Linked DNA regions of Rattus norvegicus. The protein of the gene in region 2 purifies or fractionates together with the protein of the main gene of each other region. This does not show direct contact. Links are inferred from orthologs where the notes say so. Each region holds a gene or a part of one and is shown on either strand. Other genes may lie near its edges.

Region 1 (4,549 bases), on a different chromosome or scaffold from region 2:
TGGTGACTGAACTCAGGTATCAGGCCCAGCGGCCGGTCTGGTTTTTGTTAGAGAAAACATAAACAGTTGGTAGGTGGCGGGGAACCGTTGTTCTAACAAATATCGGAGGCAGGCTACTTTAAAGAAAAGAGGGCCCTCTTGGCTCAAAGTTCTAGAAGCACAAGGTTCACAGGGAATGACACAGGCAATGTCTAGGGCCTCTTCTGGTGTCACAACTATGGAAGTCAACTCATGCATTTGTGCCTGTTCACTTTCTTTCCTATAAGAACCCCACCAGGATTCTTGTTATGTCCTATTCTAATTCCAAAGATCCCACCTCTAAATGCCACAGTTAAGCCAGATAGTAATGACACATCCCTTTGATTTCAGCACTCAAAAGGCAGAGACAGGAAGATCTTTGAGTTTGAGTCAAGTCTTGTCTACAGACTGAGTTCCAGGACAGCCAAGGGCTATACACACACACACACACACACACACACACACACACACACACACACACACACACACAAACCCTGTCTTGAAAAACAGAAACAAAAATGAAACCACAGAAAAACACCATAGTCCTGTTAACTTTCCACTCTTACGGTTTGTTTGTTTATTGGGACATGCTTTCTCTACACAGCCCTGATTGTCCTGGATTAGAACTCACTGTACAGATCAGGCTGGACTTGAACGCGGAGTTCTGCCTGGCTCTGCAGCTCAGTGCCTGTGCTTAAAGACTTGTGCAAACACACCCATCAACTTTCCATTCTTTTAAATATTCACATAAACGCCAGGAATTAAATTCCCTCGAGTTTAGAAAACAGACTATATTTAAAACGTAGCAGGCAACGAAGCCAGGGACTTGCCCAAATTCCCAGAGCAAGAGTAGAGACAGAACCTAGACAGTGTTAGCTTCTTTACTCATTTGTGCTTTATTTACGGGGTCACATTGTTTCTCAAAAGGCAGCCAAGGAACACAGGCTCAGAATCATACCTACAGACTCTCTAAGGCAGACCCTAGGAATCTGCATTTTTACAAGCTCCTGAGAAATCTGTCCTGCACACGAACATTTCAAAGACTAGTGTTCCCTGGGTGACAGCAGCTCCGCCTCAAAAACAGCCTTGGCCAGATTCCTAGGTTTAAGATCCCCGCAGCCTCATGGGAAATGTAGTTTCTGCTCTCCTTCCCGCCTCAGGCCTCTTGGAAAACTCGCCGGAAGAAGCCGAGCCAATGCGGAAACAGCCGAGTGTTCCGAGGCGGGCCTTTTCCTGCTCGGTTGCATGCTGGGAAAGGGCAGTTTCCGTTAGCTGCAGAAGGCTGAGGCGCGCCACCGGCCACCTCCCCACGTGAAGCAGTTGTGCGAGCATCGCCACGCCGGGCAGCTGTCTACCCGCGTCCGAGCGCTCCGGAAGCGGCGGGGGACCGGAAGTGGCCCGCGGAGGCTGCAGAGCTAGTCCGGGAACCCGCTGTGAGGCGACTGGCAGCAGCGCTACGACGGCGCCATGTCCCTGATCTGCTCGAGTGAGTGCTGGCTGCGGCGGGAGGCGGGAGCGTGTGCGGCCGCTGTGGCTCGGGCCCTAGAGCCCCCGGCCCTGCGTGCAGGGTGCATTTGCGCAGTGATGCGCAATTCACGTAGCTGGGAAGAATGACTGTCTCAGGGGTCTTTTGAAGCCAGCGTCGTTTTACAGAGCTGAGACAGGCCTGAGCAGAAGTGGGGGGAGGAGCTGGTGCAGTGAAAAACAGCTCTTGGTGTCAAAAACCCGAGGACGTGTCCAGGATCCGCCTCCGACTGTGATCTGGGCTCTAGCGGGTTTGGGCCTCAGTTTCCCCACCTGCAAAATTGAAAGCATTGCAATGGATATTGCTTGGGAAACCTCGCTTAGGAATTGGAGTTTCTGATTTGCAGAGATCATGCAGTGACTTCGAGACCAGGGCTGGAAGCCAGGTGTCTGGCTTCTAGCCTCGCGCAGTATGACTAATGAAAACAGCGAATGTTTAGAAAACCTGTATTGATTTACGATGCATTTCCAAACGGTGATCTCATTTTATGCTTACAAGAATTGTCTGAAGGGAAATAAAGATCCGTGTGTTACAGAGGTTGTCGGAAGACTTGAAGAATGGGTTTATCCAGGGGTGTGCGACGAAACTAAGCCATGGAGCTCGGTTCTTTGAGCCTGGATCCATGGTTTTCCCATGTAGTATATGGTCTTGTCTTTGGGTGTTGTATTACGGCATTGCGGGTGTTCTCCCAGTTGTTTACCCCATTACTAGTTTCCTCACTTTCTCTCTTTCCCTCTCAGAACGTTGCCATTAATTCAAAGAGGGAAAGGAAGGAGGGAAATGACAAACAGAAAAGGAAGTCTCATAGTGAAGAAATAGCAGTTTGCAAAGTATTTATGAACGATTTGTTTCCTTTTCATCTTTGAAACAACACTCTTACATGCCCAGGGCCATCCTTCCTCTGGTAGGAGAGGGAAAGCTCTCAGAAAGCTTCAGTCGTTGAGTAGTGAGATAAACCTACAGAATAGGACAGGAAAGCCATATACAAAAATAGGGATTTTAAGTACTGAAACAAATACTTAATTACATGTGCATGGAGTCCTGCAAAATTAAGTGACTCTAAGGGAAGACACTGAGAAGGATAGGAGCTTGAAGCCTTGGGTTGTTGACTCACAACCTATGGGAAGGCGAATAGAATTATGTGATGAATAAGAGCTGTTTTGTGATGTGATAAGTCACTATCTTAGAGCGGCCTTCAGAAGAGTCTGATGTGGAGGTAGCTTTCACTTGTCTGCTTGAGTGATCCAGTTGTCTTTTTTAGGGGAAGGTAGAGAAGCAAGGGGGGTCTGAGAAGGTCAGAGAGACCTTGGTTCTTGCTTTTGAGGCTTTTTTTTTTTTTTTTTTTTTTTTTTTTTTTTGGTAGTTTGGCATGCCCAGGGCTCCATACTTTGGGATATTCTTTTCTGAGCCCCAGTACTTTTGCACTTATTTAATCTGCTCTGATGTTTATCAAGTGTGTGCTTCGCTTCTGCATTGTCCTGGAGGTCAGTGACAGCTGTAAGTCCCATCTTCAAGGGTACACAGACTATTCTGTCGAGCGCTTAGAATAGAATTCTGCCTGGCACGTAGTAGCAGAGCAATGGAAAGTTTTTGTTTGTTTGTTTTTAATTTATCAGTGCTTGTCACATGGCTTTGTAATTTCTCTTGTTGATCCATCTCGGGCTCCCGATGGATGACAGAAGTTTGAGTTGTGCTCTGTGTACTTCTCTGTCATGTGCCTAGTCATCTGGGTTCAAAAAAGAGATCGACCACTCTATACCGCACTGGCACATAGGATCTGGGCAGTTATTATTTATTGACTTTTATTATCAGCAGACCAGAGATTCTAGGTAAGTAGTTGGCAAGCATTGTGGGACCAAGTACAGGCAGGCTTGCTGTCACAGACCTTGCTTCCTGATAGCTGACTATAAAGGACAGGGTCTTGTTGGGGCTGACACAGTGAAGAGTCTCCTTTTACCCTGTGGCTCACTACCTGTCTTTCTCTATAGTCTCCAACGAAGTGCCAGAGCACCCATGCGTGTCCCCTGTCTCTAATCATGTGTATGAGCGGCGACTCATTGAGAAGTACATTGCAGAGAATGGCACAGATCCTATCAACAACCAGCCTCTCTCAGAGGAGCAGCTCATCGACATCAAAGGTGCCTGCCCAATAGCCTTGGTCCAAGGCCATCTCAGCTCAGCCTTCAAGAGTGGGAGGTGGTGCCAATCTGGTGGAGAAGATGGTGGCTGTGAGTGGGGGAGGGGAAGAGTTCCCGGGTTCTAGTTCTTCATACCTGCTTTGCTGCCTCTCTTGGCAGTTGCTCATCCAATCCGGCCCAAGCCTCCCTCTGCCACCAGCATCCCAGCCATTCTGAAAGCCTTGCAGGATGAGTGGGTGAGTCTGTGAAAAGAATGCACCTCCGGGGGCTGGGGATTTAGCTCAGTGGTAGAGCGCTTACCTAGGAAGCGCAAGGCCCTGGGTTCGGTCCCCAGCTCCGAAAAAAAGAACCAAAAAAAAAAAAAAAGAATGCACCTCCGGGCTAGGACCTGAGGATTGAACAGATGAGGCCTCCCTCCCTCCCTCTTTTAATGTAGTTTTATGTTGTGTATGGCCTTTTGCTTACATGTATGACTGTGTATGACTTACGTGCCTGGTGCTTGGGAGGCAGGAGTTGGTGTGTGATCCCTTGAACTGTAGTTATGAACAGTTGTGAACCACCCTGTGGGGTTTGGGACTTGGACCTGAGTCCTCTGGAAGAACAGCAAGTGCTCTTAATTTCCGGGCTCTCAACTCTCTGCAGGCCCTCTTACTGTCTTGAGATAGGACTTTGCTTTGTTAGACTAGTCTGAAACTTTGATCCTTTTGCCTCAGCCTTCTAGTGCTAGGATTATAAGTGCCAACCACCAGGCCTGACTCTTGGGGGTGATGAACACAGGGTTAATGTAATCCCTGTACCACTGAGCAGCCCCCCTCATTTTGTGCTGGCCTTATTTCATTTGTGAGGAACAGGATAGCAATACAAGAGG
Region 2 (4,614 bases):
CTCATTTTCCTGGAAATCAAAGATGCACACACATAACACAATTTATGAAACATTTTTTGAGATAGTCTCACTAGTTTCATGGGTCTGACTGGCCTCACACGTGTGAAAATCCTCCTGCCTGCCTTCTGAGTGCCAAGATTACAGGTATGAGCTGCCATGTCCAGTCCAAAGCTTACCTGTTTCTATGCATAGAACACACTCATGAGGAAAACTGAGAAACTACTCTTGCAAGCAAGAGAGGCTCCAACGGAAGAATGCCTTCATACACTTTTTTTTTAAAGAGACAGGGTTTCAATGTGTAGGCCTGGCTATCCTGGAACTATACAGATCAAGCTGGCCTGGAGCTCAGAGGTCCACTTGTCTCTGCCTCCCTAGGGATGGGATTAAAGGTGTGAGCCACCACTGCCCAGCTTTAAAAAATACTTTTCAGAAAATATTGTTATATTACCATTGTGCGTATGTGTGCCATGATCCAGAGGTCTGAGGATGTAGTTCTTTTTCCAGTGTAGAATGTGGAGACTGAACTCAGGTCATCAGGCTTGTGCAAAAGGCCCAAGCATTCATTTCTACCCATAGAGCACGTTACTAGCTATCTACTTTTCGATTAAGCAAGTCTTAATTCCTTTTCCTTGCGTGAATGCATATGAATGGTGTGCACAAATGAGCAGACAGATGTGCAATGAATGCCTCTGCAGAGGCCAGAGGACATTGGGCCACCGGGTCTAGCACTATTGATTTTATTCCCTTGAGACAGAGTCTCTCTCTGAACCTGGAGCCAGCAAGCCCCAAGGATCTTCCTGTCTCTGACCCTACAGTTTTGTAATCACTCCTGGCTTTGTACATGGACATGGATCTGAGGTCTAGTGCTCATGCTGGCCCCACCATCTTTCCACCCCTTATATCCTATTCCTGCACAGTCCTTCCACAAAATCTCACATACCTGTGAAATCTCGACATCCCCAATTTTGAACACCTCATCAGTCAGAGTAGCAGAGAGCAGCTGAGATATGGTACAGGGCACAATGTGCTGGGCTCGGGCTCTCTGCAAAGAGAAAGGACGCATCACGTCAACCTGAGAGAGTAACAACCATTCACCGAGGGTCTCCATGTGCCAAGCACTCTGTATATACCACAATCCAGAAACTTCAAACCAAGTTCTCCTTGCTTCAAAGAGACAGAAAACAAGGCCAGAAAGTTAACATTTGACTCCTCTGCCTCTCCCCTTAAGTGCTAGGGTTCACAGTGTTTGCTACACATGGCAAATGCCACACTTTTGAATTCACATCTACACTGATCTGATACTAGACCTCCAGGTGGAGAGATGTTTGTATCATATTGTGGGTTCACAAAGAAAAGGTCAGACTAGAGTCAGGACAACACAGGAAAGCCTGCCTTTAGAACAAACCTTCAAGAGCACATCCCAGGGCTAGACAGTGGTGGCCCATGGCTTTAATCTCAGCACCCAGGAGGCAGAGGCAGGTGGACCAAGGCCAGCTTGGTCGACAGAGTAAGTTCCAGGACAACCAGGGATAGACACACACGCACACACGCACCCCCCTCTGTCTTAGAGAAGTGAGGATAGCAAGAGCAAATCCCAGATACAGCAAGAGCAAAGTGTTCAGGACACCACAGAGGCAACAGGCAACCTGTGTAGTCCTTGACGTAATCCCTACAGTCAGGAGAGACAGGTAGTAGGGTCACCACAAATTAATGGTCTACACACAGCAGGTTCCAGGCAACACACAAATGGGTAGTAAAAACTTGTCTCAAAAACAAAACGAATGAAACGGCACAAAAGATAAGCCTTTAACTCAACACTATCTCTGCTTAAGCAGAGTACTAATGTAAACAAAAGACCACATCCTGATACATTATGGAAAGAAGCCCCTTATTTGGGATCTCAGAATGTTTACTGGTAATTTCAAACACCAGAACGTTTCCCAACTATCAGGGAAACTGAGGCAGAAAGGCAGGAGAATCACCTCAGCCCTATCAGCCTAGGCAACAGAGGTACATCCGATTCAAAAAAAAAAAAAAAAAAAAAAAAAAAAAAAAAAAAAAAAAAAAGGTAAAGAACAGTTAACCACAAGTTAAGGGCAATTACTCAGTAAGCCTTAGAGACTGCTTGCTCCCTACCCCTAACACTATGATGAGCCTGGTGGCCATACATCTTTAGTCCCAGCCCCAGAGGTAGAGAGGCAGGTGGATATCTGAGTTCCAGGCCAGCCAGAGCTACACTGTAAGCCTGTCTCAAACAAACATCCCCCAAACACTTGGTCATACAATGACTACGTTCTTCCTGTCAAATTCCAACAGGAATGAACCCCAAACCTGTTCTGAACACAGTGGACTCTTGTTCTTTAGGCTTTTTAGTAGTCCCAGCTGTGGATGGGCACCGCGACATTTAACTCTGCAAAAGCATACTTTCTGAGCGGTAGGGCAGGAAAGTGGAGGCCGGGCCAACCACAGCACGCTTGCCAAACACTTAGAGAAAACGGTTACCCAGTTGACCAGACAAGAGAAAAAGTAGGCAACCCACAGCTTCCGAACCAATTGGGGTGCCATCCTCCCCCGCAAAACCACGTTCCCTCCTGGACCAGTGAGGACCTTCGGGACAGGAGGACACAAATGAGAACAGAGCGGGTCACTCTACGTACTGATTTCTTCTCTGCCTGCGACGGTGTGGGTGACCCGAAGCCACCGGGGGACTGCGTGTAGCCGCCCGCTGCGCCATAGGAGGAGCTGCTGAAGCTTTCGAATCCGCCTGGTAGTGAACGACAGAGTCAGAATCTGCACGGCGCTCCCCAACTCTGTACCTGGCAAACGCTGTCCCCACCGCCCCAGCCACCACAACCCCCCTCCCAGCCCTCAAATGCCACCGCCCCGGCCTCCGGCCTCTCGCTCCCGCCCTGCCCTCCCACGCGCGACTCTCTGCCTTCTCTCCCGTATGCCCGCCATTACTATTCCACATCCTGGTCGCAGTTTTCCTGAGAAAGAGGCCAAGAAGTTTGGACTCGGAAAATAAGAAGACTTAAGAAGTGTTTGCCGCTCCGGCGTGGCGGCGTTGTAGCTACTTTGCACTGGCGCCACAAATTCCTTCCCGCGAAGAGCCAGCTAATCAGCGCCTGGGACACATCTACCTTTAGCCAATCAGAACTCACGAATCTCACTTTTTCCGGTATCAAGGCCAAGCTTAAGAAAAACACACGGCCCCAAGAAGAAATGGAAGCCCGCGCGGCCATCTTTACTGAGGGCGAATTCCTGACAGGACAGTATTCAAGAAAACAACCAATCAAAACAATACTTCCTGGGCCAACCAAAAGTTCTCCTCACCCCCCCATCCCCGGCGAGTGCGCAACTCCTTACGTCACTTCCGCCGCTCGCTAGCTAACCCCTCGCCCCCCATTCCCGCCAAACTGCGAGTTTGCCTTCAAAGCTGAATCTCAGGAGCTGTGGTAGAAGTCACACTTTCGACGTTGGTGCTCGGTTGTGGCATGCCATTTGCAAACTTAAGAGACTCAGTACTGGGGGCTGGAGAGATGGCTCAGCGGTTAAGAGCACTGACTGCTCTTCCAGAGGTCCTGAGTTCAATTCCCAGCAACCACATGGTGGCTCACAACCATCTGTAAGGAGATCTGATGCCCTCTTCTGGTGTGTCTGAGGACAGCGACAGTGAACTGTACATTAAATAAAGAGAGAGAGAGAGAGAGAGAGAGAGAGAGAGAGAGAGAGAGACTGACTCTGACTCAGTACTAGTCTCACAGGTCATCGTGGGATTACTTATTTTCTATAAGAAATTAAAATCTCCAAGTATAACGACTTACTCTCAGAACTCTGGCAGAAGCAGGAGGATCTCCATGAGTTCGAGGCCTCCTGGTCTGCATAGCAAATTCCAGGCTAGCCGGTGCTACATGATGAAACCCTGTCTTAAAAAATGAAATAGGGGCTGGAGAGATGGCTCAGCGGTTAAGAGCGCCCGACTACTCTTCCCGAGGACCTGAGTTCTATTCCCAGCAACCACATGGTGGCTCACAACCATCTGTAAAGAGATCCGATGCCCTATTCTGGTGTATCTGAAGACAGCTACAGTGTACTTATATATAATAAATGAATAAATCTTTTAAAAAATGAAATAAAAGAAATGAAATTTTTCCTGTAGAGTCACAGATCGTTTCCAAGATTGTTGCTCCTATAAGAAACCTCATGGAGGCCAGCAAGATGGCTCAGCAAGCCAGGTTACCTGAGGTTGACCCCAGAGACCTGCAGAGTATAAGGAGAGACTCAACTGTTAATCCCACTGAAGGAGTGTAAAGAGCGTTAGCTCTTTTTTTTTCTCTTGGTGAAATTAAACAAGCTTTATTTTGTTAGACATGGCTACCTCCCCAAATAGGTGTTTGAGAAAACACTGGACACAGAAGGTGAGGTTTATATTAGGCCCCCCAAACTGCAAGAATATGGGCGTTTTCAAGGGTTACATAGTAATTTGGCCAAACATTTCAGTATTATTTGGCAGAACATCTATCAGGGTGAAGGTCAGGGTATAGGATGTGGAACCTGTCAAAATTCAGAAAATGGGTCAAGACCTGGTAAAATTAAGTTTTACAGAAATCAGGA
Region 3 (4,006 bases), on a different chromosome or scaffold from region 2:
CTAGTGCCCAGGAGGCTGAGGAAGATGTGAGTTCAAACCCAGCCTGAGCTCCCTCCACTCCTTTCTTACTCATTCGATGCTTTATGGTATACATTTTACAAAATGTTTTCTGTGGCTCCCACACGCTCATGTGACGTCTACCCCTCACTCACAGGGCACACTGAAATGTCAACAACCTCAAACTTGTTTGTATTGTACTTGAGCTTGGTGTACAAACCTCATACACGGCCTGACTTACTAGTTAGGATTTTACGTTACAGAGATGGTGTTCAGCATATTCTTCTGATGTTCTTTGGTAACACTGGCCTCATGGAATGAGTTGGTTAAGTTTTCCTCCACTTTGGGGGGAAGAATTCGTCACCTGGTATTGTTAACTCTTCTTTAAACATATCTGTGGAGTTAAAGGAACAGACCTTACTGTGATTACCTGGCCATAGTCAATCTCCAGAGGGTAGAACTTCTTGGGATACTTTGTGAAGTTTTTCGAGTGCCAGGCATTTCCAGTCTTCTCTTCGTATAACTTCATGAAGTGTTCAACAGCATCCTCTTTGGACGGCATCTGCTCAAGCTTGTTACTGCCGATAACTGTGCCCACTCGGCCCCAGGACCGGAAGATCCAATACCTGTAAAGGGACAGAGACCAGGGTGAGCTTCTGTTCTGTTAGGCCCTCCTCCATAAGGGGCAGCATTAAAAGCACACTCTCTCCTTCATGTGTTGATTGAGTGGTGCTGCAGGTGGAACCCAGGGCCTCGAACACACTAGGCAAGCATCTATAACTGAGAGAGGATGTTTAAACTATAACCTTCATTCTAGTGATCAGCAAGTGTGGAATAGCATAAAACGATAAATTTGAAGTCAGGTGTGGTAGCGCACGCCTTTAATCACAGCATTTGGGAAGTAACAGGAAGGTGGGCCTCCGAGTTCGAGGCTAACAGAATAGCCCAGTGGATCAGTGGAGCTACACCCGTGATGGTTAAGCAAGGCAGCATAAGTGATACTCAGGAGTGGCTATTTTTTATGGAGGAACTTCAAACGCTATAGGCTTTTGTGACCGTTTCTCTTGCTCCAGGCCCTGCAGCGGCCTGACTTCCACAGGTGGGCAGCACACACTCAGTGTGGAGGCCCAGGCTCACCTGCTCTCCTTGTCGGACTCCAGAAGTTGCAGTTTGTAATAGGAGTTAGTCCCTTTCACAATGTCCACCAGGCCAAGCGTGGCACTGAACACCTTCCCGCCTTTCTCCAGGACATGTGCAGAGTGTTCCAGACCTGCCCCAGAGACAAAGCTCCTATGGTTTTCTCCCTTGAAGGGAGAGGGTGAACAGAGGCCTCATGTCCCCAGCTAGTTTCATGTCACAACACCTTTAGAGGTACCCACTGACCCTCATGCGTCCAGGACTGGCCTGCTCCCCTCTAGCTACCCTGACTAGAGACATCTCCTAATCTCCCAGGGCATGGGAGGCTCTGATCACTCACCAGAGTCAGGATCAACGGCTGCTCCTCCCTTCAGAGTTAGTTTCATCCTCTTTTCAGACTTGTTGACACCTTGGGAAGGAAGGGACAGAGGAACACAAAGACTCCACTTAGGCAAAGGCAGAACAGTTTCCAGAGGCATCTGTCATGGCACCTGCACACCACCTGTTGCCCCACAGGGCCTGCTGCTTTGTGTCCGCTCACTGAACTAAGGATACTGCTCGCCACAGCACCTTAGGGACACAGAACCAAGGTCACAGGTAGGGCAGGTGGGTCTCACCTTCCTCCTTGACAGCACCCTTGCTCTTCTTGGAGGGTGCAGCTGACTTCCCCTTGGGGACCACCACTTCACCAGGCTCTACCTTCACCTCAGCCCCCCACGAGGACAAGCTATGGGCTGAGAGCAGCTCTTGGAGGCTCTTAGCTGAGGCAGACACATCCTGGAGGAAGTCCTCACACACGACTCGAACATTGGCTGCTTTCACTTCCTCCATCTTCTTACTCATCTTCTCCACCTCCTCTGTTTACAACCAGACAGGGAGAAATGAAAACCTCAACCGATAAGCTGAACGGCTACCTTCCTACAGTCTGAGAAGGCCAACGACCCCATGACCAACAACTTCTCTCCCAAGCTGTACGCTGAACCTCATCTCAGCAGTCACGCTCCAGTGGTACTGGCTGTCCCTCTGGTCCACAAAGCCAAGGGTGGCCACCTTCTCTAAATCCTGAGTGTGGTGTCAGGAGGCACTCAGCAGAAATGGACTCTTAGGCCCAGACCATAACACTTAGCAGAACAGTCTTAATATAAATGTGGGTCTGGCATCCATCACCAGACCACAAAGTGGTAACCTCCGCCTGCCTACAAAGGAACCCAGGGTCATCCATGAACACTGAGCAGTGTAAGCTTATGGTCTGACTGGGACCAGGAGCCTGTGTGAACACACGGAATACAGTACAAATACCAGTTTTACCTACAAGCTACAGTGAGAAGTGTCTGACCCTAGCTGTGCCACAGAACCCTCACCACCTCTGAGAGGCACGCGCCCGTCAAACTTACTCTTAGTGCTGATACACAAGGAGGCCTTGTTGGCAGATCCTGTCAGCTTGCCTCCGAGTTTCTCAATCATGGCCTTTGCTTCGTCCTTGTTCTGGGAGAGCTTACCAAGAGTCAGGATCTTCATGTTAGACAGGGGTTTGTCTGGGGTAAGAGATCAGAAGCGTCAGGCTAAGACCATTCTACTGCGCTCTCAGGAAAGGATGAACAAAGGCAAGACAAAACAGCTGGCTCTTCAGGAGAGGTCAGAGTCTGGCCAGCCCTGGCCTTTACTCTTCTCTTAGGGAAAATCTTCTGAAGAAGACAGAAGCAGTAGGGAAACAGAAGGCAGAACAGCAAACCCAAGACCCCAACCCATGAGTGTGCAACAGAGAAAATGGGGTAGGGCATAGGCTACACAGAGAACAAATGGGTGATCCATGCTGGCTACCCTGGGCCTGCTCAGGGGCAGACTAGAAAGGCTGAATCTAGAGATGAGGCCAGAATGCTCAGAAGAAGGTGGGTGGTGAGAGCTCTGCGTCCTTCCATACTCTTCCTCCCAACTCCCGAGTAAGAAAGCACAAGCTGACCAAGCTGAAAGGTCTGATCAGTATGGCCACACTGAGTTAAGCACCAAGTACCCAGCACTGACTGCCAGGTTGGCATGGATGGATGGGCCTCTGTGAGTGAAACACAGCACTAGTTATAGTCAGGCCATGGCCTCTGCTTCAGATCTCACAACTGGGAGATCTAACTGCTCTTTCTAGGGGGTGGACAGTGAGGACACCACCTGCGTTCACTGAAGTCTCTGTAGAGAACAAAATCACTGATTTAGGTGTGAACTGCAAGCAAGGAGACAGCAGAGAAAGGGTCTGTCAAGGAGGAGCAGAAAGCAGGCTCTAACTGACCACATGTGTTTGCAGACCCCAGGATTCAAGCAGCGGAGAGGACTTGGGATAATGAGTTCACCATTAAGGGCAGACTAGGTGCAGCTGGGCTAGTGCCCAGAAGCAGAACCTTGTCCTCTGCCCACACCAGCATGGCCTCTACAGCCTTTAGGAGTGTCCACATGCCTGAAGGAGCAAGTAGCACTCTCCTTCCCAACAAGGCACAGTGATTCACTCTTATGTGGCCTCGGTCATGTCTATTCATGACCAGGGTCTCCCCAGGCTCTTGATGGTCGGTAGTGCAGGGAGGACAAGGGGCCTGGAGACTGGGGATGTGGTTCACGGTACACCGGTTGTATATTCTGAACACACTCTAAGGAATGTTAGTCACATGGTACACAGACCACAGGACATCCACTATGCTATGTCCTTGCTTGGCATGACTCATAGGTTGAACCCAGCCCATAATCCTTCCTGGAGCCATACCTGCTGGTGCAGAGGAGTTCACAGCTGTGGGTGCGGAGGTGATCGAGACGGGAGGTGCTGGTGGTGCTGGGGCGCTGCTCTCTGGAGGGAACAGCCGGTCCTGCTTTTTGATCTTTAATTTCTTGAGGT
Region 4 (4,006 bases), on a different chromosome or scaffold from region 2:
CAACCCCCGAAGACCTGAATTTAATTCTAGTACCTATATCAAGTAGTTTACAACTACTTCTAACTCCAACTCCAAAGAGATCCAAAGTTTTTGTCCTCCACAGGTGTGTGCTTGGTGCATGTGTGTGCGCTACACCCACACAAACACAAGCATACTCTTGAAAAAAAATAAAAATTAATCTTATAAAAATAAGTTAAGTGTGACATAAAGGGAAAGATAAAACTATAGATTTAAAGTACTTGTAATTCAGGAATGGAAAGTAATAGTTTTTTCATTTCTTGATAGCTCTAATACTTTGAAAGATGTCGGTATACATACATACCATAAAACTTACAGCAGATGATGGAAACAAATGCCTCTTCCATGTAAATGCTTTTCCTGTCTACACAGTCTTGTCAGACAGCTAGCTGTGGACATGCAAATGTTGTCTTTTTAAAGCTGTTTTATCAGGGTTATTTTTTCTGTGAAATGAATTGAAATACTGATGTTGTTTGTTTTTCCTGCCTTAAACTTGCCCTTAGGTGGTCGTTCTGATCGTCTGCAAATGAGAAATGATTTGGCAAAAATAAATAGTGTACTCACAGAGCACACAAATCGGTTAGCACCATATCAGTTTTTGACTGCTTTTTCGCAGTTGATCTCTCGAATTTGTCATTCTCATGATGAAGTTTTTGTTGTCTTGATGGAAATAATAGCCAAGGTCTTTCTGGCCTATCCTCAGCAAGCAATGTGGATGATGACTGCTGTGTCAAAGGTAATCATTAGTTAGCCACTTACTGTGTCAAGTTTTTTTTTTTTTGTTGTTGTTGTTGTTGTTGTTGTTGTTTTCTTTTCTTTTTTTCGAAGCTGGGGACCAAACCCAGGGCCTTGTGCTTGCTACCACTGAGCTAAATCCCCAACCCTGTGTCAAGTATGTTTAAAGCAAGTATATAAATACAAATTCCAGGGTCCTGGCCTATATTGTTAGTAATTTTCCTATAGAGAGAAAAATATAGAGTTTAAATATTTTGAGATACTTATCATATGAAATGAAGTTACCAATATGTGAAGAGTAAAGACTTGAGTAGTACTGTCTTTGTGAAGTTTTTAATAAATATTTATAATATAGCCACTTTTTAAAAGATTATTTTTATGTGTATGCGTGTTTTACTTGGATGTATGGCTATGCACCATTTGCATGCCTGGTGCTCAGGCGTCAGGAGAGGAAGTGTTGACTCGCTGGAACTGCAGTTAAGAACAGTTATAAATTGCCATCAGAGTGCTGGGAGTTGAACCCAGTTCCTCTGTGAAAGCAAGTGCTCTTAATCACTGAGCCATCACTCCAGCCATGTGAAGTTTTAAGTGTTTTATTCCAAGATCTTGAAAATCTATTAGCGGGCATATACAAGTTGATTAGTATATTTAATGAGTAAATATTATAGAAAAGTTAGTATAAAGATAAAAGGAAAATTAAAATTCAGACTGTTACTTTTTCTTGTAACTTTTTATGTACTTTTCTAATCCTATTTTAACAGTAAATTTTAATTAAGTTGACAATTATATTTTTACTTAAATATTAGATGATTAAATAACTTTAGTATTAGATAAATTATATAATATTCTTTGACAACACATTTTTGTAATTGGACAAAATTATAAAAATAGCTAACCATTAGTTCATTAAAGTTTTGTTTTATTTTCCTTCTGTTCTGTTGTGCTACGTCTCAAAATATTGGATTGTTTCATCAATGAAGATCCTATCAAAAGTATTCACAGGCTGTATGATTAAAATGGTGTTATCAAATTGATTTCCTAGACGCTTATGTTATAAACTCACATCTTAAATAGTCTTTTAAATTGATTCTTGCCAATCAGCTTTCCTATAGAATTGTATTTAATCCCCACCCCTTTTTTGATTGACAGTCTTCTTATCCCATGCGTGTGAACAGATGCAAGGAAATTCTTACCAAAGCTATCCATATGAAAAAGTCTTTAGAAAAGTTTGTCGGAGATGCAACTCGCCTAACAGACAAGCTACTAGAGTTATGCAACAAATCGGTACGTTCAGATCTTAGTGCACAGCAAGCCATGAGAGATAATATACAGAAGAGTTATATAGAAACTGGTTTGTGAGTTATGCTGTTATGTTTCATTAAAGTTTTAAGTACATCAGTATACACATACCAAAATATATCAAATGGTATATTTTAAATATATATCTTTGTATCTTTTTCCCCGACCCCTCTTCTTCATATGCTAGAGATTGAACCAGAAACCTAATCTTGCTAAACAAGGGCTTTACCACTGAGATATACCTCTACCCCCTGTATGATTTACCTTAATAATTCTGTTGTTTTAATTTGTAACATATGTCCCCCTTTCATATATCCTCAATGTTTCTGAATTTCCCTGAAAGTATATTTTAATAGTTATCAGTAGTTTTAAGTAAAAAATATTAAATCAACTATATAAAATAATATAAATAAATATAAAATATATTTAAAATGCATTAAAAGAGTCTTTGATTATATTGTCATATCCTTAAGTTTTGAAAACTTGCATGTCAGTCTACGTATCAGATAGGAAAATGAATGGAGAGTTTTTTTCTTGGTTAATTGATTGCCTTTAAATAGTGTTAGATATCAAACCCAAGACTTTATCCATAGTAGGCAAGTACTTGATTCATGAACCCTTGATTTTCATTTTTTCAAGGTATATTTCAATGCATAGGCATTGTGATGAAGGAACAAAGATGACTAGTAGAAATCTGTCTGGAATTGCTGGTACATTTGTAAGGAAGTAAGCAGTGGCTATCATCTGGAGTAGTAGTAATTATTTTCAATATGCTTGTGACTGAAGTAGGAAGGTAGATAAAGCAGTAAATCACTGTTCTATGTTAGGATTGGGGGGGAAGCTAAATGTAAGAGATCAAAGTATATGGGGTGATTATTAAAGGGAAAGGTTCTTCATCAGGTAAACCGCTTCATTTGACAATCAAAATCCAGTAACCATTTCTAGGTAAAAAGATAAAGGTTACCCTATTTTTTCCCTTCCTTTCATGAATAACCTATTCTCAAAAGCATAACCTTTCATTATTTCCATTAATTGTATTTGACCTCCGATGTACTTAACACTAGGAAAAATGTACTTATTGGATGCTGGCCCTATAAGTGCTTTACATGTTCAGGTGCTTAGTTCTTTATCTGAAACCTTAGTTTTTTTATCCTAACTACACTTAGGAATTCAATTTTTTTCTCATTTTAAAAGTATTCATACTTACATTGACTATTCTAACTGATGGTAATGTATCAGAATATCCAATAATCAAACACACATAGCATTCATCTTTACATTAAGAAATTCAGTATCGGGGTTGGGGATTTAGCTCAGTGGTAGAGTGCTTGCCTAGGAAGCGCAAGGCCCTGGGTTCGGTCCCCAGCTCCAAAAAAAAAGAAAAGAAAAGAAAAAAAAAAAAAAGAAATTCAGTATCATCTTGTTGTTAAATGAGGTTTGGTAACCAAAAAGAGTTATCTACAGATTTTCCTGATAATAGATCTCTGGTTTCTACTATCTCCTCTGGTCATTAAATACTCCTGTGATAGAGGCACATTATTTATAAGGTAAAAGATTTAAATGAGAAGATTAAAGATACTTAGGACATTGCACACTGTTGAATAATTGAGGTTGTGAAAGTAAAATGTTTAATGTAATTAAAGTTCTGTAATTTAAGGTTAACTCAGAAAAATTGAAATATGCTGTTTGTTTGTTTGTTTGTTTGTTTGTTTGTTTTTAGGTTGATGGAAGTAATTCTACATTGAGCATGAGCACTCACTTTAAAATGCTTAAAAAGCTGGTAGAAGACCCAACATTTAGTGAAATCCTCATTCCTTTGCAGTCAGTCATGATACCTACTCTTCCATCAATTCTGGGTGCCCATGCTAATCATGACCCCTTTCCTGGGCATTGGGCCTATCTTGCAGGCTTCGACGATGTGGTAAACTTCAGTTTTATATAACTATAATATAAT
Region 5 (4,006 bases), on a different chromosome or scaffold from region 2:
AGTGTTTCGTGATTTTTCCCTGGATTAGACAACTGTTAGGTAGAGAAGTGTGCCTGTCAGGCTATGCAATGGTGAAGCTGTGCAAATGTCGGCTGACATGAAGGTGGGGCGCTATACTGAGAAGCTGTTTCCTTAAAGGTCGTGTGTCTCTCTCTCCTTAGTCCTAAGTGCCTTTAAAGAACACAGTGAAGACATTTTGTATTTTAGTGGATGTTCAGAGTTTAGTAGTTTATGATTTTTGAGGGCGCATTTTCCTTATGTGAATGTAGTATCTATTGGACTAAAGTTGCAGCATGTGGGGGATTTTAATGCTTTAAAAATGTTAATGTTTCTCCCTTTCCATTTCTAATTTGTGAACTACAGTTATTTGTACTGACAATACTTGTAGAGTTCTTTTTTTTTTTTGGTTCTTTTTTTCGGAGCTGGGGACCGAACCCAGGGCCTTGCGCTTCCTAGGTAAGCGCTCTACCACTGAGCTAAATCCCCAGCCCCTGTAGAGTTCTTAATGTCATTTGTATGTGTTAACAGGATAAGCCATAAAGGGTTTATGAGCAGATCTAAAAATGTTTCCAGATTTATATTTGCCTGAAAGCCTTTAGTATTGTGTATTATACATACAATTTTCTTTTTTTTTTCCCAGACATTTTACACATGACTGTTTTTCCTTGAAATATATTTTGGAAGATCTAATTTAGGATTCCCCCGCCCCTCATAATTGTGTGTGTGTGTGTGTGTGTGTGTGTGTGTGTGTGTGTGTGTTTTATCATTCGTATTAGTTTTTTACAGTACTGTGATCCTACTTGTCTACAGAAACAACTTAAGGGAGGAAATTTTTATTTGGACTCACAATTTCAGGCCATCATAGTGGGAACCACATGGAGAGGCCATTCACATCACAGTGGAGCAAACAGGAAGCCAATGGTATAACAGGAATTGGGCCTGCTCTTTACTGGCCTCTTTTTACCAGGAAAGCACAACTTCCTACAGGTTCTACAAAAGCCTCCCAAAATAGCACCTTGGTCTGAGACACAGGTATTCAAAACAGGGCCTGTGGTTTCATGTTTAAAACGCAACACCGTAAAAATATACAAGGCCTTTTGGATATCAACAATACAGAAAGTCCCTAACATTTAAAAAGTTTGTTATTGTGTTAGATACTTGTAGCTGTGATCAAACAAATACCTGACAAGAAGCAACATAAAGTGGAGAGTGTTCATCTGGCTTACAGTTTGAGGGGATACAATCTGTCACAGTGAGGAAGGCATGGCAGGAGGATTAGGAGGTAGCTGGGTTTTCTGCATCCACAGTTAAGGAAGCAATAAAATGATTTAGAGGTCTCAGTGCACTTTGCCCTTTCTATTCAGTCTGGAAGACTAGTCCATGGGATTGTGCAATACATATTCAAACTAGGTTTCCCATTTCAATTAACCAAATCTATAAGCTCTCTCATATTCATCTCTCAAGGGTTGTTTCCATGGTGACTTTTATTTTATCTATTACTTCTGTGCATTTGTGTGCATTTCTTTTCCAATGTCATAGAGCACATGTGGAAATCGGAGAACAGCATTGGGGAATCAGTTCTGCCCTTCTACTATGGGTTTCAGAGATTTGATTCAATATTGAACCATTCCACTAGCTCTTCAAGCTTATTGAAAATCCCATCAAGTTGACAGTCAAAATGTACTATTGCAACTCTATTTGTTACCTTGACACCCAAACACATCACATTTTTTTTTAAAAAATGTATATACTTGTTTTATGCATGTAAGTACATGACTTCAAATGATCTCATGGTCTTTAGTACAGTACTGTTCGAAAGTGTAAGGTCAGAGTCTTAGTGAGGTTTAACCTACCTCCTATCTGTTAGCCTGTATAACATTACAGAACACACTTTGTTCTTCTACTATACGATGGTGCAGAGTGGGTGTTCTGCTTCCAAGAGGAAGAGTGATGATACAGCAAAAGAAATATCAGGCCAGTGTAAAGGCACAGTGCAGCAGAACAAGCACCAAACCCAGTAGCTCCGTGTTAGGCATCTGGGACTTGCGATGGAATCACTGGACTCCAGAGGGCTTGGGTAGTCCTGCCTCTCCTGCTCTACTGCCTGTAGTTCAAATAGCCTTCTTTGGGGCCATTTTCACTCTACACCTACTTTCCTCAGTAGACAGCCTATGGCTCTGTCATCGCCAGCATCCTAGGATCTCTCTTACAAACTTCTGCTTTACCTTCACAGCTTTACTCTCTGACCTCTCCGGGCCTCCTTGCTGGGACACTGCCGTGGGAGGACTCTGCACACTCATGGCCTCAGTGGCTCTCTAGAGCCATAGTGCAAAACCCAGTGAATCCTGCATCAACATTCAAGTTCTGCTACTATCTGGAGATAGAGCCTTGCCCCTTGGACCACAGTTGTAATTAACCTAGTGTGTCAACCATGGGGAAACACTTTCCTATATGATAGGGTTTTTTGTTTGTTTGTTTTTGTTTGTTTTTAGAGAACCCTTCAGTGGCAGTCTCAGTTTCCTGCCACGCCCCTCCCGCGCCCCTCCCCCGCCCCCTTATTTTAGATGGAGCCTTTAGTGGATAGAATAAAGGTTCCTTTGATCTCAGTGCACAGTGCCCATTTCCCTGTTAATGTGCTTATTTCTTTTACAGTTATCTTAATATTCTATTGCTGTGAAGAGATACCACACCAAGGTAACTCTTACAAAGGAAGCATCTAAGGGCTTGCTTACAGTTTCAGAGAGTTAGTTCCTTCTCACCGTGGTGGAGTGTGTGGAGACGTGGTGCTAGGAGCAGGAGCTGGGAACCCACCTTGCCTCTGACACCCGCTGAGCCAAGCTGCCACTGTTACATTCTTCCTGGTATTCTCATCTCTCCACTCTTTTGTCCATCCTCCCACCCCCATAAGCCATGCTCACAATATTCAAGGGCTTTTTGAGCTTTAAGTTTGAAACATCCACAATCCTCCTCATAAACCAGTTCCAGAGGCCTAAGAGTCCATGGTCAGTAGAGGCCCACTCCTTGGTAAGCGTTCTTACACATTGTTGATTAAATAACTGACCAGAGGCACCTTAAAGGAAGAGGGTATGGTTGTGCCTGCCCACATTGTGTTCATAGCCAGGAAACAGGGAGGGATGAACTTCTGTATCCTTTCCACTCACCCCATGGGATAGTGCCATATTTAGGGTGGATTTCCTCTCTCTGTTAACCCAGTCTAGACACAGACTCACAGACATGCCCAAAAATTTGTTTTCAGTGTGATTTTAAAATCATTTCAACTTGGTAATGGAGATTAACCATGATAATGATGTCACCCTGTAAGTTGTTTAGGTCTCAGGAAGTTTATCCGTAAAGGCGGTTGATGTTTGAGTCTCCGTCCATTTTGCAGAAACACAGCTCATTTATGACATAGCATGCTTGAGTAGTGAGTGAACTAAGTAGGCCTTACTGAAGCAGCGTTGGGACAAATAGCAAGTTCCCATAAGTTCTTTTGAAACCATCAGTATCTTTGGGATTTTACTTTTCTTAATACCTTAACAAAAAGCTGGGTCTTTCATTTTTGTACTATAAGGAAAGCAACTAATTCTATATAAGGGTTACAGAAGCTTAAAGAAATATCTAATTATTAAGTTATGGATGTATATTTTAATTTTCATTAACTCTTTACAGTTACTTGTGTGAAAAAATCCAAAAACCAGAATATTTCAACATACATTTCCAAAAAATGAGAGTTATAAGTTTCCACGTGGTCGAAGTACAGGGACGTAAAGATAAGATACTTGTTTTATGTTCACAGCGGCAGTACGGCTTAGATAATTCTGGAGGATACAAACAACAGCAGCTGCGACACATGGAGCTAGAAGTAACGAGGGGACGAATGCATCCATCTGAGTTCCACAGCAGAAAAGCTGACATGTTGGAATCAATCGCTGTTGGTATTGATGATGGAAAAACAAAAACTTCTGGTGAGTGCTTAAAAATTCAAGTCACAGTTTTAATATTGCAT
Region 6 (4,006 bases), on a different chromosome or scaffold from region 2:
GCCAGATCCATCTAACTAGTGAGTTCCAGGCCAGTCGGGGACATACAGTGAGAGCCTGTATCCAAGGGGATGGGGATGCGTGTGGGGGGAGGGCTACAAACTTGGCTCAGTAATGAAGAGGACTTCTGCTCTTCCAGAGAAGCCAAATTTGGTTCCTGGACAAATGTACCTGACAGCCACCTGCAGTGCCAGCTCCAGACTGAATGAAGCCCTCTTCTGGCCTCCACACATATATAACATATATTCACACACAGCCACACAAAAGTGTATTTAAAAAAAAAAAAATAAACGGGTTGGCAAAGGTGCAGGATAGAAGGCACACATCAAGGACAGCTCTTAGAACTCTCAGGCATACTCAAAGTGCCTCAAGTGTCCTTGGCTGAAGAGAAGAGGAACACATTCTATTTCCTACGTAAACAACTGAACAGCTCTTTTCCTAACTGGCTTCCAGTGCCAGCGATAATGAGCTGTAGAGCTTTCTGATGTCATTTATCGATGGGGACTGTTACCTTGTTCTAAGGCCTCCGCTCTTTTCCGTTTTGTCGCCATGGCTGGATTTGACTGTTCCTTTAATGCTTCCACTGGACAGTTTGGTCTTGGAAGCTGGCATCCAGGTGTTGGCCCTGGACGATTACTGAAGTACTTGGTCCTCAACGCCTTTTCAAAGAAAAGAAAGCAAGGTCTTATTCTTTTGTCCTATTTTGAGACAAGACGTCACTGTGGGGCACTGGCTGGTCTGTAACTTGTAGCTGTCTTCCTCCAACTTGTCTCTGAGTGCTGGGTACATAGCCATGTACCACCATGCCCAGCTCAAAAGGGGTGCTTTAAATGTTTGTACTGTGAGTAGGAAAATCTAGTCCCAAATTGTTGACAGCATTAAAAATAGTATGCAAATACTCTTATAGCACCAAACAAAAAATTAGCATCAAGTATTTGGACACAATACATAAATAAACACCCAGTATCCTGCAACTGGCTGATACTGTTGGCGGGGGATGTGGTTGGAGGATAGAAGTGGCACACTCCCTTCTAACATTTGTACAACCACAAAGCCCAAACTGGAACCAATAAATTACAAAACAATAATCTACTGTGAATGGTAAAAACTTGTTTGGGCCAATCCAAGGTTGCTTTAACCACTAGAGTATAATGTTCTAGAATTTACAGTTTTATATAAAAGTGGTTTCCTCTCAAATGACAAGTTTGTCAACTAATACCTATTTATAATATGCCAGTACTGTTAACAGCCACAGTGATTTATTTACTCTAGACTCTCTCCAACAGTCAAGAAGATCAGGTACTCTTATTTATAAAATGTTTTGAAGTATAATATTTTGATTATATTCCCCCCCTTTCCCAACTCCTCCCAGTTCCTCTGCGCCTACCCATCTTCATACTTTCTCTCAAAAACAAATAAACAAAAACAAAATGAAGTATTAATCTCAAGTATTTAGAGGGCACAGGAAGGTGGATCTGTGCGTTTGAGGCCAGCCTGTCTACAAAGTGAGTTCTAGGACAGCCAGGGCTACATGGAGAAACAAACACTGTCTCTAAAAACCAAACAAACAAAGAAACCCCAAAAGCAAAACCAAACCAAACAAAAAATTTACAAAAACCCAAACCTGACAAACTGCAGGGAGAGGGGGTGTCACACCTTGGCAGAGGCAGGACAGCCTGGTCTATAGAGTGACTTCAAGGACAGCCAGGACGACAGAGAGAGAGACCCTGCCTCAACTCCCCCTCCCCCTCAAAAGGAAGAAAGAGGTAAGAAGTTACCATTTCCAACTATGTCATACTGAAGTCAAGGCCAACTTGGTCCTGACTCAAAAATAAAGAGCTCAAATGAAGCAGGCTGGAGAGATTGCTCAGCGGTTAGGAACAATGGCTGCTCCTCCACAGGACCTATGTTTGGTTCCCAACATCCGCCCTTCAACCTTCTGTAAGTCTGAGTCAGGGGATCTGATGCCTTCTTCTGGCCTTTATGGACACTGTACATACATGGTGTATAAACATACATGCTGCCAAAACATCCATACACATAATTAAAACAATCCATCTGAAATCTGTCAGTGGCGTGAGAACACACACACCTCTAACAAGTGTAAACTCTTATGTGATGTTTGCATAACAAGACTTCCTATCAGCCAGACACTGTCTATAGCTTCAGGAAAGGACACAGACACACACACCAAAGATAGACCTCTCGCCCTGGTATTTAAGGATATTAAAAACTTTAGAAACCTGAGTTTGTTTTATTAATGCTGCTGAGTACCTGTGAAGCTGTAATTCTAGTACATGGGTTGAATAAGAACAAGCCTTGTATGAGCTCAAGCAGGTCGTCTCCAGCTGCAATGAAGATGTGCTGCAGGGGGATGCCAGGGAAACTCTTGAACGTCACGTAATCTGGAAGACTACACATGTCCTGAAAGACAAGTAGGATTCAAATTTAAGTAACGTATCCAAAGACACAGAAATGGAAGAAAGTAACAAAATGTGGCCTGTTAAGATAGTCTGTGTAGAAAATCCTAAGAAAACTACTCATAGAGAAAAACAAATTAGAACTGGTAATATGTAAAGAGTAGAAGACATAGCATAAATGTATCTTAAAATCATAGTTCTACAGACCCACAACAAACATGTGAACACAAGAAAGAATGGATTCTCCAAAAAACAGGGTTAAAATTCTGACATTTTACACATGTAAACAAGTTAATCTGAATTTTATATACAGAAGTAAAAGTCTAGTTAGTTGAAAAAATTTGGAAAAGAAACTAGTGTTAGTTCTTACATGTACATATTTTAAGACCCAACAGAGCAACTTCAATTCATACTGTGTGCTAGTGATGGAGAGACAGGGGGATCAGTGGAGTACACAGCGAACCCAAGATCCACAAGTATCTGCCAAGCACAGTTCTGGAAAGGCATGAAGGAGTTCTGTCAAGCCTTTCCAACAAACAGTGCTGCAGCATGTGGACACCAAGCACGAAAGTACAGCTCGGGATAGGTAAGGTAATGCCCTCCATAATCCCACCACTGCAAAGACCACATAGGAAGCTGCAGGCCCTAATCAAACAAACAAACAAGAAAACCAACCCCAAATAAACCAAAACCAAAACGTTCATTTAGGAAATTGAGAAATAATATGAGACATTCCTTAGATATTAACTTTAGCTTTGGATATTTTTGTTATAGTTTTAACAAGATGATAAAAATTCTGCTTAAAGTGTCCACCTTTCTTCCTTTTTTGGTGAGAGAGGGAAGCAAGAACTTGTGTGGTGTTTATATGCCTGTGCTATCTGACTGAATCTAGAGTTAGGCTATAGCACTAGCCAACCAGCAAGTCTCCTTGCCTGTGCCCACAGGGCTGTGCCCACAGGGCTGTGCCCACGGCAATGGGGTCAAGGCATGCTGTACTTTTTTTCTCTCTTTTTTTTCTAAGGTTGCTGAATATTGGAATTCAGGCCCTCATGCTTGAGCAGTAAGTACTCCTAACTACTAAGACATGTCTACAGGCCCCAGAATTCATTTTCTTCACATTTATTTGCTCCTCAGAGCTTGGGACTACAATGGGAATAAAAAGCCAAAAGCTTCTCAACTTTAAGAATCTAAGTAAGGGGGCTGGAGAGATGGCTCAGTGGTTAAGAGCACTGACTGCTCTTCCAGAGGTCCTGAGTTCAATTCCCAGCAACCACATGGTGGCTCACAACCATCTGTAAAGAGATCCGATGCCCTCTTCTGGTGTATCTGAAGACAGCTACAGTGTACTTATATATAATGAATGAATACATCTTAAAAAAAAAAAAAAGAATCTGGGTAAATAGTAACAGGTTGTTGTTGTTGAAAGCCAAGCCAACCCAAGGCTTTCTCAGAGGCCCAGACAAAAAGACAGAGAGAGTTCTGCATCCTTGCTGAGGGACAGACTCAATTCTGGGGCTGGAGCCTGGGCTTGAGGGAGTTAAGGGCTCTAGGAACCCGACTTTAACCCCCAAAGAAACTGGCTCCTGAG
Region 7 (4,501 bases), on a different chromosome or scaffold from region 2:
CCACTACTGAAAAATCCCAAACCAAAACCCACCTCTGCATTTGTATTATAAAACACCATGAAGATGGTAAAATAACTGAAGAAAATGAAACATCTGCATTAAGTTTCCTGTTGGGGGAATGAAATACTTCCTTCTACAGATTCTCAGTGACAGCTAGAGATGCAACTCAGAGGAAGAATGCCTGCTTAGCACGCACAACAATCCCAGGAAAGATGATGCCCCGCCAAATGAATCTTCTGCAAGGCCCCTTAACTGAGCTACTATGATTGTGCACTGTTTGGAATGCTGCAAACCCAGAGCCAAATTATCTTGAGCCATTTTAGCCTTCTTAGTAGCCATTTATTGTCCTCCTCTGTACTTAACATGTTTCTATGACCACAGGGTAAATAATTTGGAATGTACAAACAGCACTACCTGTCAACAAACTAAAAAGCCAAGGACAATGTCGAGTATCTTAGGCCTCTAATAGAGGTTCTTCATTATACTTTTTCCCACCTACTTAATGGTCACACCAAATGTATTGGAAAAGTATCTTCATTTATGACTTTCCTTGTTCTGTTAGTATAAAAACTTCATGAAACTGCTTCAGTTGAAATATAGCATTTGGGGTGGTCTAAATCTGTGTTCCCAGGCCGTGGTTATTGACATTTGCCTCCAGCACAGATTGTCTCTTAATACGTTAGGGTTCTCCCCCCCCCCCCCCCCCAAGGAATCACCTTTACCGTGGCTGATACTGGTGCACACAAAACTCCAAGTGGAATGTCCCTTTAGATTCTAAAATTTCTTTACAGTGCCTCTTTCAGTTTCCTGAGAAAATACATGTGGCCCAAGCCACCACCTCAGACCTTACACTAATGTTGGACCAGTCTGCCTTTGTCAGCAACGGAATTGTAAGGTTGTCTTATTTTATGGCTTTCTTCTACCAAGGGAAGAAAATTTCTTTAAACAAGATTAAAACGAGGTGGGAGAGGGAAATTTGTATGTTCTCACTCAGATTTCCAAAACTCAGGGTCTCGCATACACGGAGGTCACTAAGAACAAATATAGTCAGGGCTCAGGAGAAGAAATGAGGCAGGCCCTGTTAGGCATTACATCAGATAGAGAGAGGGTCTGACCTATGAGAATATCCTTGAGGCATCAGGGCAGTGGCTAGAAGTCATGTTCTTGCCCCAAGTCCGTCATGACCTTGAGCCAGGTGCCTCATTCTAGACGCTTCGATGTTTTCCCGCGCAACTCGCTTCCGACCACGTCAGAACTCGGTGGAACCCTGGCGCGCCACACCGCCTTTGAATCGCAGCACAAGGCGGAGCTCCCAACCCTCACGTATCCTTATTGGTTGGTTTTCTCAGACTCTTTCTTTCGATTGGGCACTCGCAGTGCCGATCACCGAACGTCACTGGTTCCTCACATTGTTGCAGGAAGGAGTGGGCGTAGACATGTCTCCCGGGGAGCTTGTGGCCTCCAGATTCTGACTTGCTTTCCGGCCCCTGGGCCGCTACACCTTGAGGAGCTTTTTCAGACGGTCTGAGAAGATCCGGGGTGCCCAGGGCATTCCAAAGCCACTCCGCCCCCCGCCATGTCTTGGAAGTTCAAGAGGTGAAGGGCTGAGGGGGGCTGGGCGTGAGGCCAGTTTCTCTGCGTTTTGCTCAAGTGAAGGTGCGCGCCCGGGCAATAGGTGCAGCTTGTATTCCTGTGGTGCTGTTTTCATTCCTTCTGCGGGTTCTTGCTGGTGTTGTGGTGGAGGTACCAAAGCACTGTCTCGGCTGACCCGAGAATCGGCTGCTAAGACCTCGGGGAATCTGCGTCAAAGACTGCAGGGGGGGATCTGAAACCCGACCGGAATGATTTATTCACCATTGTTATCCCAATGTTTGCTAGCCATTTTATGGCAATCCGATCCTGTGTGTCTCCTGGTACTGTGCAGAAGCTTACTAAAACGTATTTGCAGAGGAGCTGAAAGGGAAACTCGCTACTTGATAGCCCTGTGTGTTTTTAGGAGAATGACAACTTCTAGGAGGCTTCCAGCAAACGCATCTTTTCATCATCTATAGTGGTCTTCATGCCCAATTCTTTTTTTTTTTTTTTTTCCAATTCTTGCAATAATTATCCCTATCCTTTAAAATAATAGGGCGATGTATACGTAAAGGGGCTTCAGGTCAGCTCTCTATGATGTCCCAAGTTTAGATACCCAATTTAATGTGTTCTGTTCAGAAGGAGTTAAAGCAGAAGATGCTGTGCATGTATTTATGTCAAAAGTCAAAAATATTTTCATAGCCGGCAGTGGTGGCACGTGGCTTTAAGAGTACCTTGGAGGGAGAGGCAGATGGATCTCCGACTTTGAGGCCAGTCTGGTCTACTGAGTGAGATCTAGGATAGCCAGGGCTACACAGAGAAACACAGTCTCAAAAAAAAACAAAAGAGAAGAGGGGAAGGGAGAGGAGAAAAGAGAAATAAAAAACGAAAAGAAAAAAAAATCTTGTAATGGTTATTTTGTTTTTATAAATCCATTTCTTCTTCATCACGTAGGCACCGAAAATTTTGACATTGTAATTGTAGCTTCCGACTTTAGATAGTTTTCTTTTCACCAGGAAAGCAGTTCCAGTATCTAACAGGTCAGATTTCGGATAACCTTCTCCACTGGATTCTTGATTTATTCAGGGAAATTGTTAAGTGATTGTTGCCACATAGCATTTCATTTGCTAAAATAAAATATAAGGAAGTGATCAGCCTGAAACTAGGAGGGAAAACTTAATCAAGTTCTGTGGTTTTAGCTTTCTGTTTTGTTTTAAAATAGGGATTCTGTTTGGAAGTATTCACAGTCTGCCCAGTATGGAGCCCATGAAAATATTCCAAGACTTTCATACCCACCTTTCTTTCCACGTTTTGAATTCCAAGACATTATCCCTCCAGATGACTTCCAAACTAGTGATGAAGAGCTAGATTTGGTTTTATTTGGAACTATGAGAGGACAAGTTGTTGGAATACGCTATTACACAGGAGTTGTAAGTATAGGATTAGATAATAAAATTGTATTTTTATGGTTTTAACAGTAAATTATATTAAAAGGTGATATATACAATTAATGTTTTACTTTGAATGAAAGGTTAGTCATGAATACCTTTACCAACTTTGACCAATTTTTTACCATTTCTACCGTGCTTGCAGTATATAAAGTACTTTTGCCCACACATTTGATCCTTCTAATTACTGAGGTATGTGGTAAATTTAAGAAATGACTTTTAAAAAAAAGACTTTAAAGCCACCAGGTTTTGCATTTAGTTTTTATCTTTTATTTCCTGCTCTTTCTAATGCATTCCTGTTCTCTGAACTGAATGTGTGTATATGTGTGTGTGAGAGAAAGAAAAGGGGACAGATTGAGAATATATATAATTTTCTTTGGACAATAATCCTTATTAGTTTCATCTTTGTCATTTAGTAATATAATTTTAATGTTATCTAATTTATTACGAGAAAATTTCAAACAAAATGAGAATAAGATCAGTGGTTAGTAAGTATTTTCTATGTTTGCTTTCTTGTTTTTGGTCTTGTAAAAACAGATACCAGTTGTATCACTTTACATTAGTACAGTTCAGTGTATATCTCTTTAAAATGCAGTTTGGGGGCTGAAGAGATGACTCAGCAGTTAAGAATTCTTGCTGCTTGTACAGACAATTGCAGTTCTGGTCTCAGGACTCATGGCTGGCAACTCACAGCACCTACAGCTCCAGGTGTCCACTGCCCTCTTCTGGCATACATGACTACCCTCCCCAATACACACATGTACATGGTTAGAAATAAAAGACATCTTTAAAGAACCCTCACAGTTTTTACATTTCATTTTTATTAATGGAATTAACCCATATGTGTAATAAGCACTCAATAATTGCATTTTATTGGTAATTTAAAATGGATTTTTTCCAGTTAAGCTCAAGACAGGGTTATTATATTAGTTTTGGCTGCTATGGGCTATAAAGTCCATTCTAATTTCCTTTTATAGATGTGTATATTTAAAAATAAGGTCTCTTTTGTGGAATCTTGTTGATTTCTTACTTTCTCCTTCCCTCATTTTTTTCATATTTATTTTAAATTTATAAATTTATTTTATTTATGTGAGTACACTGTCAGACACACCAGAAGAGGGCATTGAATCCATTACAGATGGCTGTGGGCCACCATGTGCTTGCTTGGAATTGAACTCAGGACCTATGGAAGAGCAGTCAGTGCTCTTAACTGCTGAGCCATCTCTCTAGCCCTTTTCATATTTTTATATTAACACTCATTAAGAGTTTTTTTTTTAATCCCCTGTTGGAAGGGGTTTGAATTAAGACTCCAGCCTTGGCTGGTCTGGAACTCACTAAGTAATCCAAGGTTGACCCTGAACTCATAGTGAACTCGTAGTGGTCTGTTGTAAAAATATAAAAAATAAAATGCTGTCTTTTTACCTGCTCTAGGTCCGAAACTGCGGTGCCCCAAAATATCTGCTAAATATCTTGTCAGAAGC

What was found.
Region 1: the proteins of Rpa2 (region 2) and Prpf19 purify together in Homo sapiens (affinity purification with western blotting; 4 studies listed by BioGRID, with this or other methods). This does not show direct contact. The link is inferred for Rattus norvegicus from reciprocal best matches to the Homo sapiens genes RPA2 and PRPF19.
Region 3: the proteins of Rpa2 (region 2) and Parp1 purify together in Homo sapiens (affinity purification with mass spectrometry; 3 studies listed by BioGRID and IntAct, counting the BioPlex papers as one, with this or other methods). This does not show direct contact. The link is inferred for Rattus norvegicus from reciprocal best matches to the Homo sapiens genes RPA2 and PARP1.
Region 4: the proteins of Rpa2 (region 2) and Atr purify together in Homo sapiens (affinity purification with western blotting; 3 studies listed by BioGRID, with this or other methods). This does not show direct contact. The link is inferred for Rattus norvegicus from reciprocal best matches to the Homo sapiens genes RPA2 and ATR.
Region 5: the proteins of Rpa2 (region 2) and Zup1 purify together in Homo sapiens (affinity purification with western blotting; 3 studies listed by BioGRID, with this or other methods). This does not show direct contact. The link is inferred for Rattus norvegicus from reciprocal best matches to the Homo sapiens genes RPA2 and ZUP1.
Region 6: the proteins of Rpa2 (region 2) and Cdk7 purify together in Homo sapiens (affinity purification with mass spectrometry; 3 studies listed by BioGRID and IntAct, with this or other methods). This does not show direct contact. The link is inferred for Rattus norvegicus from reciprocal best matches to the Homo sapiens genes RPA2 and CDK7.
Region 7: the proteins of Rpa2 (region 2) and Hltf purify together in Homo sapiens (affinity purification with mass spectrometry, with the first as the bait; 3 studies listed by BioGRID). This does not show direct contact. The link is inferred for Rattus norvegicus from reciprocal best matches to the Homo sapiens genes RPA2 and HLTF.

What each region holds. Positions count from the first base shown.
Region 1 is NC_086019.1:216,965,209-216,969,757, forward strand, and holds the start of Prpf19 (pre-mRNA-processing factor 19), read left to right. Parts: upstream 1-1,298; 5' UTR 1,299-1,485; coding exon 1,486-1,504; intron 1,505-3,531; coding exon 3,532-3,681; intron 3,682-3,840; coding exon 3,841-3,917; intron 3,918-4,549. UniProt on the Homo sapiens protein: Ubiquitin-protein ligase which is a core component of several complexes mainly involved pre-mRNA splicing and DNA repair. Required for pre-mRNA splicing as component of the spliceosome.
Region 2 is NC_086023.1:150,259,214-150,263,827, reverse strand, and holds the start of Rpa2 (replication protein A 32 kDa subunit), read right to left. Parts: upstream 3,057-4,614; 5' UTR 2,972-3,056; coding exon 2,962-2,971; intron 2,765-2,961; coding exon 2,658-2,764; intron 2,566-2,657; coding exon of another isoform or gene 2,332-2,565; intron 1,043-2,331; coding exon 941-1,042; intron 1-940. UniProt on the Homo sapiens protein: As part of the heterotrimeric replication protein A complex (RPA/RP-A), binds and stabilizes single-stranded DNA intermediates that form during DNA replication or upon DNA stress.
Region 3 is NC_086031.1:94,856,165-94,860,170, reverse strand, and holds part of Parp1 (poly [ADP-ribose] polymerase 1), read right to left. Parts: coding exon 3,878-4,006; intron 2,670-3,877; coding exon 2,529-2,669; intron 1,992-2,528; coding exon 1,752-1,991; intron 1,544-1,751; coding exon 1,475-1,543; intron 1,268-1,474; coding exon 1,135-1,267; intron 624-1,134; coding exon 428-623; intron 1-427. UniProt on the Homo sapiens protein: Poly-ADP-ribosyltransferase that mediates poly-ADP-ribosylation of proteins and plays a key role in DNA repair.
Region 4 is NC_086026.1:105,378,892-105,382,897, forward strand, and holds part of Atr (serine/threonine-protein kinase ATR), read left to right. Parts: intron 1-521; coding exon 522-754; intron 755-1,902; coding exon 1,903-2,037; intron 2,038-3,772; coding exon 3,773-3,973; intron 3,974-4,006. UniProt on the Homo sapiens protein: Serine/threonine protein kinase which activates checkpoint signaling upon genotoxic stresses such as ionizing radiation (IR), ultraviolet light (UV), or DNA replication stalling, thereby acting as a DNA damage sensor.
Region 5 is NC_086038.1:31,344,440-31,348,445, reverse strand, and holds part of Zup1 (zinc finger-containing ubiquitin peptidase 1), read left to right. Parts: intron 1-2,233; coding exon of another isoform or gene 2,234-2,416; exon of another isoform or gene 2,417-2,675; intron 2,676-2,707; exon of another isoform or gene 2,708-2,861; intron 2,862-3,796; coding exon 3,797-3,965; intron 3,966-4,006. UniProt on the Homo sapiens protein: Deubiquitinase with endodeubiquitinase activity that specifically interacts with and cleaves 'Lys-63'-linked long polyubiquitin chains. Shows only weak activity against 'Lys-11' and 'Lys-48'-linked chains.
Region 6 is NC_086020.1:33,575,206-33,579,211, forward strand, and holds part of Cdk7 (cyclin-dependent kinase 7), read right to left. Parts: intron 2,423-4,006; coding exon 2,273-2,422; intron 658-2,272; coding exon 510-657; intron 1-509. UniProt on the Homo sapiens protein: Serine/threonine kinase involved in cell cycle control and in RNA polymerase II-mediated RNA transcription. Cyclin-dependent kinases (CDKs) are activated by the binding to a cyclin and mediate the progression through the cell cycle.
Region 7 is NC_086020.1:104,477,364-104,481,864, forward strand, and holds the start of Hltf (helicase-like transcription factor), read left to right. Parts: upstream 1-1,401; 5' UTR 1,402-1,576; coding exon 1,577-1,596; exon of another isoform or gene 1,597-1,656; intron 1,657-2,794; coding exon 2,795-3,002; intron 3,003-4,501. UniProt on the Homo sapiens protein: Has both helicase and E3 ubiquitin ligase activities. Possesses intrinsic ATP-dependent nucleosome-remodeling activity; This activity may be required for transcriptional activation or repression of specific target promoters.